Linked DNA regions of Drosophila melanogaster. The protein of the gene in region 1 interacts with the protein of each later gene in a pairwise test. Each region holds a gene or a part of one and is shown in the gene's direction. Other genes may lie near its edges. The genes, in order: CG30324, CG17328 and CG42659.

Region 1 (2,842 bases):
AATTATTGGTATTCTGGGGTCATTGCATGCCAAAGTAAACTTCATCATTAGATGTGATTTATTTTGAATTCAAAATCAATTCGCTTTGTTCTTTTGTTGAGATGCCTCCCTCTATTTCACAATGTTTGCCATAAAACCCACACTCTCACTAAGCTATCTGAGTTTGCTGGAAAACAAAACTGGTAAGTAGTACGCAGTTAAGGCACTTATATAATATAATTTAAATTCCGCGAGTATAGTAAATCTTTTCGTTGTGTTTTTAGATATCCAGATAGATTGTTTAAGATTTATTTATACTATGTGAATGGAATAAACCTACCTTAACCACCATTTTTCGCTGAAACTTTTGCCCGTCGTATTCAAAATTAATGGTTGTCCGGTAGCAAAAAGTTAGCATAAAGGCCTCCGAGTGGCCAATTACATCAATGTCGATGTCCCCCACATGGAATGTGGTCACCTTGGACTCGCTGTAGTTGTCCACCAGGCGCCCGTTCCTCAGAATTGACGGAAGAACCGTGTATCTCAGCCATTGCCTCTCAGCCTCGATCTTCTCCATTTCGTCGGTACTGACGATCCCAACCGCTTCGCTTGTGGATAGCGAATGAGCATAAACCATTTCATATAGCTCATTTTGTACTACTCTCCAAAAGCTCATTCGTTGTTAGAGATTACACGATAAGAGCGAATTGGAAATGAAAAGCTTTCTAATCATTAAAAGCACTTTATGGTTTATAGAGAAGCAGTACCTACCTAATGATTAGCATGATGCAATTTGGCATGTTAAAATGATATGATAAGATATCATGACGCAAAGATAGGGGGATACGCTATTTATTAGTTTTAATTAGTTTTTTTTTTTTGTTTATTGTGTGCAAAGTTTAATGATTCCTTTGGATTAAGTTCTATTTTCCATAATCACAGGTATCGATATATTTTTAGTCAAAATTTCCAGTTTTAGAAAAAGCTATCCTACCGTTGCAGTTCGACTATCGACCAACTACCAATGGGCCTCAACTGGTATTTACTCAAAACGACCGGGTCAATGACCAGGGCCAACACCTACGTTCGAAAGTTCACGAATGGATCGCAGCAAAGTCGAGATATCAGCATGCCATCCAAAGTGCCAAAGAGGACAAGTGCTTCGATCAGGATCACGGATTTGGATAACATGTCATATATGTCCTCTTCTTCGCGAAAAGGCAAAATAACGAGCGGCCGACACGATCAGTTGAAAATGTCGAAGAATGCTCAACACGACGATGTCGTCTGTCCAATGCAAGCGAGTAGGAAGCCCATCGAGGAGCCCACTGTTCGGGATTCGCCACAAATGCGCGAGTTCTTCGAGGAAGTGCGTCAGCGAAAGCTCAAGGATTACTATCTTCAGATGAAGGCTGCACAAAGAAATCCAGCGATGTCCCATGTGTGTCCGGATTGTGGTTTTGTGAAGCGGGATAAGAAGGATCTCAGCAAAAACATTTACTGCACGGGGGATAAACGATTGAGGATAAAAGATTGTGATCGGCATGGGGATCTCACCTGGCTGTGGAACTCCTCCGCTGCATATCCTCACTCTGCACTTAGTTGTGGATGCAGCAGAGGTGTCTCCAGCCACTTGGAAACTTTAATCAAGCTGCACAATATAAAATGTTTAATTTAAAATTTGTAATTTTTGATATCTAGTTGCCAAGGAGTTTGCTGATAATACATCTGTTTTTCTCCGATATTTAGTTTCATTCTGCAATCCAAATCGTTCGTACCTTTCCGATTTGAACCCCACTCTTTCCACAATGTTTTCCGATCCCGCCCAGGAGTCGGTTGCCACGCAGACGGAGGCACAACCGGTTCCGTCGCCCATCTGCACCCCACTGCTGATGGTGGACGAGGATGGACGAAAGCGGTACTGCTACCATGGTGGAAAATGCAAGTGTGCCACTTGCGCACAAATTCGTGCAGAGCAGGCAGTGAAACTCGACCAGGAGCTGCTGTCCTACATACCGCACTCGAAGCTCCACCTGGAAGTTCCAATCCGAATGGCCAAGCCGAAGCAGTATCGCCTGGAAGCTCGACGGGCTACTCCCGAACTGGCAAAATTTCTGCGGGAGGATCACGAGAGGCTGAGGGCGGAGTATCCATCGTACTATCTCCCGGATCGATACTTTGGTAAGAAATTCTACGAGTTGCCAGGACCGCAGCACAAGGAGACCCAGACGGACATTCCGATTGGGCGTTACGGCATCGATGGTTGTCCCTGTACCAATAAATCGCTCTGCTATGACTTGTAATCCTGGGCAGGACTCAATTGGGGAAAAAAGAGTTTAATAAAAGTTCGGAATGTGAGAAGTATTTGCATGTTTTTCAATAAATCACTATAGTTAATTTCCCCGACTATCACATACCCATTACTCAGCTAGTAGGTGTGCAAATTAAATTTAATGTAAATAAATTGATTATCACTTATGATAATAGTTATGATACTCCTATTTCTTGGGTAATTTGGAATAGAAATCCTCCAGGAAATCCTTTAATATCAACTTGAACTTTTCGCCGTGCTTGGCCAATAGCAACTTGGCCTCACTGTCCTCATTGTCCAGCATCTCATCCGCTTCCTCCAGCACCTGAAGGTAATGCAGCCAAGCCGTTTCCAATCCCATAACCTGCTCAAATGTTTCCTCGCTAAGCTTCACCTGGTATTTGTGCAGCAGAACGAAGAGTTCCAGCATCGGAGTAAATGCGGACTGCTTCACTGGCACATCCTTCAGGAGTTTTTCAAAGAGCTGTTTGGCAGCCACCGTTTCACGGATGGTACGAGGAACCTTCATCACATTACGCTCGTTGCGTCGCA
Region 2 (3,764 bases), on another chromosome or scaffold:
AGCCAGCCATGTACAGAATGGCACCCAGCGATACCACCTGCAAATTAACAAATATTTATTATTTATAATTGCGGATAAGGATTAAATCTGCTGTCATGCTGTCATAATTAATTTATGCATATTCCAATTAAATTCCATTATAAAACGGAAAAAATTGTCCTATAGAAATTCGATAAAATTATAAATTTAAAAGTATTATTGTTTGAATACTCTCTAATATATTTGCCCTTGATTTGAATTAGTACCTTGCTAATTGCTACCAATTCTTGATATTGTTTTCGCTTCCAAAATGGTTTATGATTTCGGCACGTTTTTTTCTGAACGTATATAAAACTAATTTAATTTCTGTTCATCTGAAATGTACACACATACACTGAATGCATTTTCAAATATTTTAGGTGTTTAAAATTGTTTTTGTTAATTTAAAAAGAAAATTTGAGAATCTTTGCTTCGCCACTGACAAATTTGAATTTAAATATCACGTTTTGCCATTAAAGATTTAGAAGTGCTCGCGAGTTTCTTTGCATATAATTTGATTTTTCGGAATACTGTATTTGCAAATGTGGAATTTTGGTGAACACGTCAGAAAAATCGAAAAATGTTTGAATTTTACTTTTTTGAAGTTTTACTTTCCGAAGGATAAGAGTAGGCTCTATGCTCTATGGACGGATCTGCACTCTATTGGCTTGATTGATCCATCCGTTCGATTGCTCACCTCATCCTTGGTGAGTATGTGATCCACCAGCGTGCGGTCGTCGGCTTTCTGCTTGTCAATGCCCTTGATGAAGTCGAAATAGGTGTTAACTACGTTGCCGGCGCAGTGGACGGTGACCACGGTGAAGGCGGTGAGAAAGAAGGTGGCCAGCGAAAACTCCTCCGCCCACTGGGAGCGGTAGGCCAGGGCTGAGCCGAGCAGCGTTGGAACCAGACTGGCGGACAGCGACCAGGGACGCAGAGCTAGGAGATAGGTTTTCAGTTTCATAAACGTTCCGGATGTGGATGGGTGTCCTGTTAGTCGTCCCGTTAGTGCTACTCCGGCATCTGCACCTGCTGCACGAGCTCCAACAACGGCTTCCACCTCCTCACCGTCCTCTGTCTTGGTCTTGCCATTCCTGGACAAGTTGCCATTGGGCAACAGCTGGCTGCTTGTGGCCATGGCAAGCGGCACTGGTTAACTGGCACTTTGCGGTGGAGTGAAACGAGACTAGCCGCCAGGTATTCGTATTCGTCGGATTGTTTGACCTTGGTCACCTCCTCTCCAGAATTTGTTTACAATAGTTAAAGTATTCAATTTGTGCCTTTTTGGATGCCGGCACATGCGCTGCCTGGTCTCGATAATCGCTAATATTGTATACACAGCATCTTGAAAGTGGGGAATATATGCGGGGATATGTATATTATCAGCGGGGGGTGGAGAGCTCAGGTGGTCGGGGTCCCGAAACCACGAAATTTCACCCGTGCAGCTCCCAGTTTCTCACGCTCTCTCTCTCTCGCTGCCCCTCTCTCTCTCTCTCTTTTCCTCGACCGGTGCGAGGATCGTTCTTCTTATATGCCTCTCCTTTTCCGGCTGCGTCTTTGCTTCCGGCTATCGATTCCGGGTTAGTGGCGCAAATCGATTTGGCTGCGATTTTACTCTTAGTTATTTTAATCAAACAAATCAACTGTCACGTCACGTCAGCGCAAAAACGAAAAAAGGTTACACTTTTTCGTTGAAGGTGGCAACGCCGTATCGCATGTGCAGCCCTGCCTATTCCTACAGTTTTTACCCAAATTTCATAAATGAAAATAATTCAGATAATATGCAATAAATATTTAGCGGTACATGTATGTGCATTTTTTATATAATTCGTAAAACAAAGGTGGGTTTTAAATATTTATGTAATCATTGTTATCAACACTTATCAACGTAATTAGTAGTTGAAGTAGCTCACCAAAATATTACTATATCTTTTGCATATTTGCGGAAATGAATCCACATTGAGTATGAAATTCATTTTAAACACGCGAAACAAATTTAATCATATATGATAGATTTGTTTCACAAGCTAGAGTTACGACTGTACCGTTGCAGCCCTGGTCCCAATCAGCTGATAGGAGTTTAGAGCAAAATTTTCAATAATTTTTTTGTTGATTTCTATAAAATTGAAATAAAACATGGACTATAATATCCACAAAATATGCAGAGTTTGCCTGGAGGAACTACATCCTGTAACTTCGATATATAGTACAGACTTTGCTATGATGCCCTCCGTAATGTTGATGCAATGCGCTAAAATAAGAGTGGGTTCTAAAAACAAAATATTTCAATGTTAATTGGCATATGGAAATTGTTTTAGGTTTTTAAAACCGATGGCCTACCTTCGGTGATCTGCAACAACTGTATTTACCGGCTGGGGGTGGCCTTCCACTTCAAGCAGGAATGCGAAAACAGTGATCTCCGACTGCGACAATATCTGGGCATTCTGGAATCCTGGCGCCAGGATGCGGCCACCAATACGGACTTTGTGGAGAAGCCGTTGCTTCCGCAGCGCGATAGCGATGAAGAGGAACCCGTGGATGCCAAAGTGAGCAAGAGGCGGTCGCGCTATCAAAGAAAGCCGCCAGAAGAGCACAAAAAACGGGGGCCCAAACCTGTGCCAAAGATGCCCCACACCTGCTACGAGTGCCACAAAAGCTTCAAATGCATTGCCCAATTAACACAGCATATAAGAACACATACTGGCGAGAAACCCTACCAATGCAGCTTTTGTATCCAGAGATTCGCCCAAAAGTACAATCTTAAAGTCCACGAAAGAACGCACACGGGCGACAAGCCTTTTCAGTGTGAGATCTGCTCAAAGCAGTTTTCCGCGTTAGGCAATTTCCAGGCGCACCAGAAGATTCATTTAGGAGTGCGGGATCAGGTATGCTCGCTATGTCAGAAAGGTTTCTACACCGCCGGTGATCTCTCCAAGCACATGATAACCCATACGGGCATCAAAAACCATCACTGCGATGTCTGCGGCAAGGCTTTCAGCAGGCGAAGAGATATGCGGACTCATAAATTGAAGCTTCATCCTCTGGAGTCCAGTACAAACCATGATATAGTGGATGATGATGATGATGAGGCTATAGACACGGATCCCGTGGGTCTGGACACCCTCGATCACGCCCACTTCAAGTGTCCGGATTGCGACAAGGCATTTGATACGGCGGACAGCCTAAGTCTACATTTTCGCACGCATGCGGCGAATAATAATCTACTGAATTTGCCGTTGCCTCCTGCACCACCTATGTCGCATCACTACCATCACGATGCACTGCATCATCTCGGCCCACCGAATCCCGCCACACAAATGGGAATGGCTGCAATGGCTCACATGTTGGCACCGCCGCCGCCTCCACCGCCAACGCCAAGTGAAGGACGTTACACTATGCTGCACCACACGGCGGCACAAAGACTACATTATTAGAGTATAGCTACGAAGATTTATCTTAATCATAATTATTGTTTTAGATTATGTTTTGATATTGAACACTTTTATTTAGTTTGTCTATATAAAATGGAATATTTTGTCATGTTTGCTTTTATATCTTTACAATAAATACATGTAGAAATTTGGCAAGCACAGCTTCTATTAAGATTATTACTTAAATGCAAGAACTAAAATCACTAAAAACTCCCCGCGCGTACTTGTCGCATACTTGTCGTCGATATAAAAATGTCATTGTTGTATAAACTAAGCTTGATTTGTGTTTTCTGTAGGTAAAAATTGTAGTATCTC
Region 3 (2,757 bases), on another chromosome or scaffold:
GACTAAAATTATGCTATCTACCTCAATCATAAACATCACTATTTTCGATTTATCACATCCAATTTAATTAAAATAAACCCTTTTCGGTCTTTTTGTCGGTATTTTGTGTGCTTGAACAATGCATGTGAAACTTTTATACTTTCCAAGCTGAAAGCCCACAAATTAACCCAAGTCAAAGCACTTCGGTTCAAACTCTTTGGGTCACTGCAAAGACCACAGTGCAGATGAGCTGCCAGGAGCGCTGGTCATATCACCATGGCCCTTTGATGCTAATGACTCTGCCATCGCCTTAAAACCGGGGGATAAGCATCGATGGGGGCTCACAACGCTCCGAACTTAGCGGGCAATCAAAAACCGTGCTGAGGCAAATTGGCATGCGTGATGTAGATGAATGGAGATGCAGCCAGATGCAGCTAGATGCAGTGGCCAGGGGGAAATGGCGATGGATGGAGTTTCTGGGCGGGGGCAGAGGTACATATGTGGGACAAGTGATTTCCGCATCGCTTTCTGGATCGCAGCGAGCGGCTGCGTTGATTGATTGATTAATTGACAAAGGAATTGCCGTTAGTTTTCCATTCGCATTTACATTTGCATATCTAATTTATGAACGGCCAAGTCTTGTCCGGCCGTATGTAGTTCATTGTGTTAGCTATGCAAATGCTGTACTTCCGCTGCGAGCGTCTGCCCAAAGCAGCTTAATTATTCATTAATTTCAACTTAAATTCCATATTTGTGCCTGCAGCCATTTGTGGCCCAGTTTCGATGGCCTGCAGTTGCAGTTATCTTTCCGCTGGCTTTTGTCACCATAAAACTGAAGTGTTGCCCGATTATGAAATAATTATAAGCGTTCTGCACGCACTAACCGGTGATTTTAAGGGCGATTGGACTTTGATTCGGATTTTGGGAGATAGAGTTCAATGTGGGAGCTATTCGCATCGATTCTAGTACGAAATTAACTAGCTTTGTTTAGAGATTTGCGCAACTCGGGCATCTAGTTACCCGTTCCATTGTGTTTCAATACCCATGGAAATGAGAACATTTATGAGCCTCACTCGGCCCGAAAATTGCACCCAGTTAGCATCTATGTAAATTCACAAAATCTATAAAGTGGGACCCAATTTGCCACTGCCATCTGCCTCGACCTTCGTTTTCAGTGGAGGTGCTGCAGCATGCCTTGCATATTTAATCCGGGCTACATTGGACCCGATCCGCCCTGCTGTGACCCCGATTGCTTGGAGGAGGGCCACTGCACGGTTCCGGAGTGCGGAGTTTGCCCGGAGTCCCAACTACCCCGATGCAATCCCGCCCCACAATCCAACAAGGACGCGGCGAAGCAACCACTGGACCAGAAAGCCCAAAAAGAACCGAAGCTCCGGGAACAGAAGTAGTGGGGAAAAAGGCAAAGCTGCAAAAATGAACCAGGAGTCCTTTGGAGATGTGCTGAACACACAACCTTGTTGTGTGTTGCTAATATCTTCAAACATCTTGAGCTAAACCCATTTAGCTCATCATCTCCTGGGCATCGAACCGTCATATTGTAACATTATATTTCAAAAAAATTAATAATAATAATAAATAAATAAAATGAATATCTATAAATAATAAAAACAATAATAATATATATTAACCTCAAATTACCAGCTCTTTTCTATTTTAGCACAAAATAACTGTGGATAAAAAATACAGATAAAATTAATTCATTTTCTTATGATCTATCTAAAATGAAGTCAAATAAATTTAAACCAGCATTCTTGATTTAAATGTCAACAAAATAACACATAAGCGTACATACGCATTTTCTTCATTCAAATTTCAAGCACGAAACGTGTTGTTCTGGTCAAACATTTGTTTAAATTTCTCATTTTTCTCTTCCATTTCCGGTGAGTTTCGAAAGAGAAAATGTGGGAGATGTATTTATAAAATAAGATTTGCAGACTTCTTTCGAGTGCTGAAAATGGTTTACTTAAGTCGTCCTTGGACTCCGGCCATAAACCCTTTCTACATTGGCCCCTATCCGAGATGCGCAGTATGTCCGTGCAACTTCGACATTTACAAAGGATACACCCCCGGTGGCTGGCACAGTCGTTGCTATAGCAGCTATTGACGAGACGAGTACCTGTATAAAATGCAAGAATAACGGCGGGAACAAATATAGTTGAACTTTGAAACTGCACACCAATTAGCCTCGCACACATCTATGTAGAGAAATAATAAAATTGATTCATCGTCACCAAACTGTTGAATATTGCTGGGGAAATAATATAAATATTCCAATCGAAATGGCTTAGATTTCAAATTAGAACTCCTGGGAATTTTAGTTTATCAGGTCGCAAATTGTGTGAAAATAGTTTTCTAAATTCAAAATTCAAGTCTCTTGGTCATGTCCTCGTCTGTGGATCACGTGGTACACCACGTACTGGCCCCAATGGCAATCAACGTCCTCGATCGCGTGGTGCCAGTAATCCGCCAATTGGTGATCATCATGCATCAGGCATTTCTGGTTGATCACCATGTGTCGGAGCCCGTGATCGATGTATCCGGCATGATTCAGCCCGTTCGTAAAATAGTCTTGATTGTAAACGATTCAACGCCGGAGCACCATGTCGACCAGGAGCAGGTGGTCAGTTCGGATGACATTAACTACCTGATAAATGAAATTTCGCGAAGTATCCGAAACTTGGCCCGTTCGACCTATAATACCATCTCGGCGATGGCTGGAGAGTAGCCCTAGAATTATTTGTCATCGTGGTCGATCGA

The links.
Region 2: the proteins of CG30324 (region 1) and CG17328 interact in a two-hybrid assay, tested with the Drosophila melanogaster proteins (one large-scale study listed by BioGRID).
Region 3: the proteins of CG30324 (region 1) and CG42659 interact in a two-hybrid assay, tested with the Drosophila melanogaster proteins (one large-scale study listed by BioGRID).

Annotation. Positions count from the first base shown.
Region 1 is NT_033778.4:16,287,086-16,289,927, reverse strand, and holds CG30324 (uncharacterized protein), read left to right. Parts: upstream 1-1,694; 5' UTR 1,695-1,787; coding exon 1,788-2,282; 3' UTR 2,283-2,342; downstream 2,343-2,842. Other genes in the region: JhI-26 (juvenile hormone-inducible protein 26), read right to left, coding at 320-556; CG30099 (uncharacterized protein), read left to right, coding at 1,004-1,657; CG9068 (uncharacterized protein), read right to left, coding at 2,478-2,842.
Region 2 is NT_033779.5:16,298,157-16,301,920, forward strand, and holds CG17328 (uncharacterized protein), read left to right. Parts: upstream 1-2,057; 5' UTR 2,058-2,154; coding exon 2,155-2,280; intron 2,281-2,336; coding exon 2,337-3,452; 3' UTR 3,453-3,609; downstream 3,610-3,764. Other genes in the region: heix (heixuedian), read right to left, coding at 1-37, 716-1,156.
Region 3 is NT_033779.5:18,005,614-18,008,370, forward strand, and holds CG42659 (uncharacterized protein), read left to right. Parts: upstream 1-1,746; 5' UTR 1,747-1,880; intron 1,881-1,934; 5' UTR 1,935-1,954; coding exon 1,955-2,104; 3' UTR 2,105-2,229; downstream 2,230-2,757. Other genes in the region: CG5693 (uncharacterized protein), read left to right, coding at 1,170-1,388; CG42634 (uncharacterized protein), read left to right, coding at 2,381-2,725.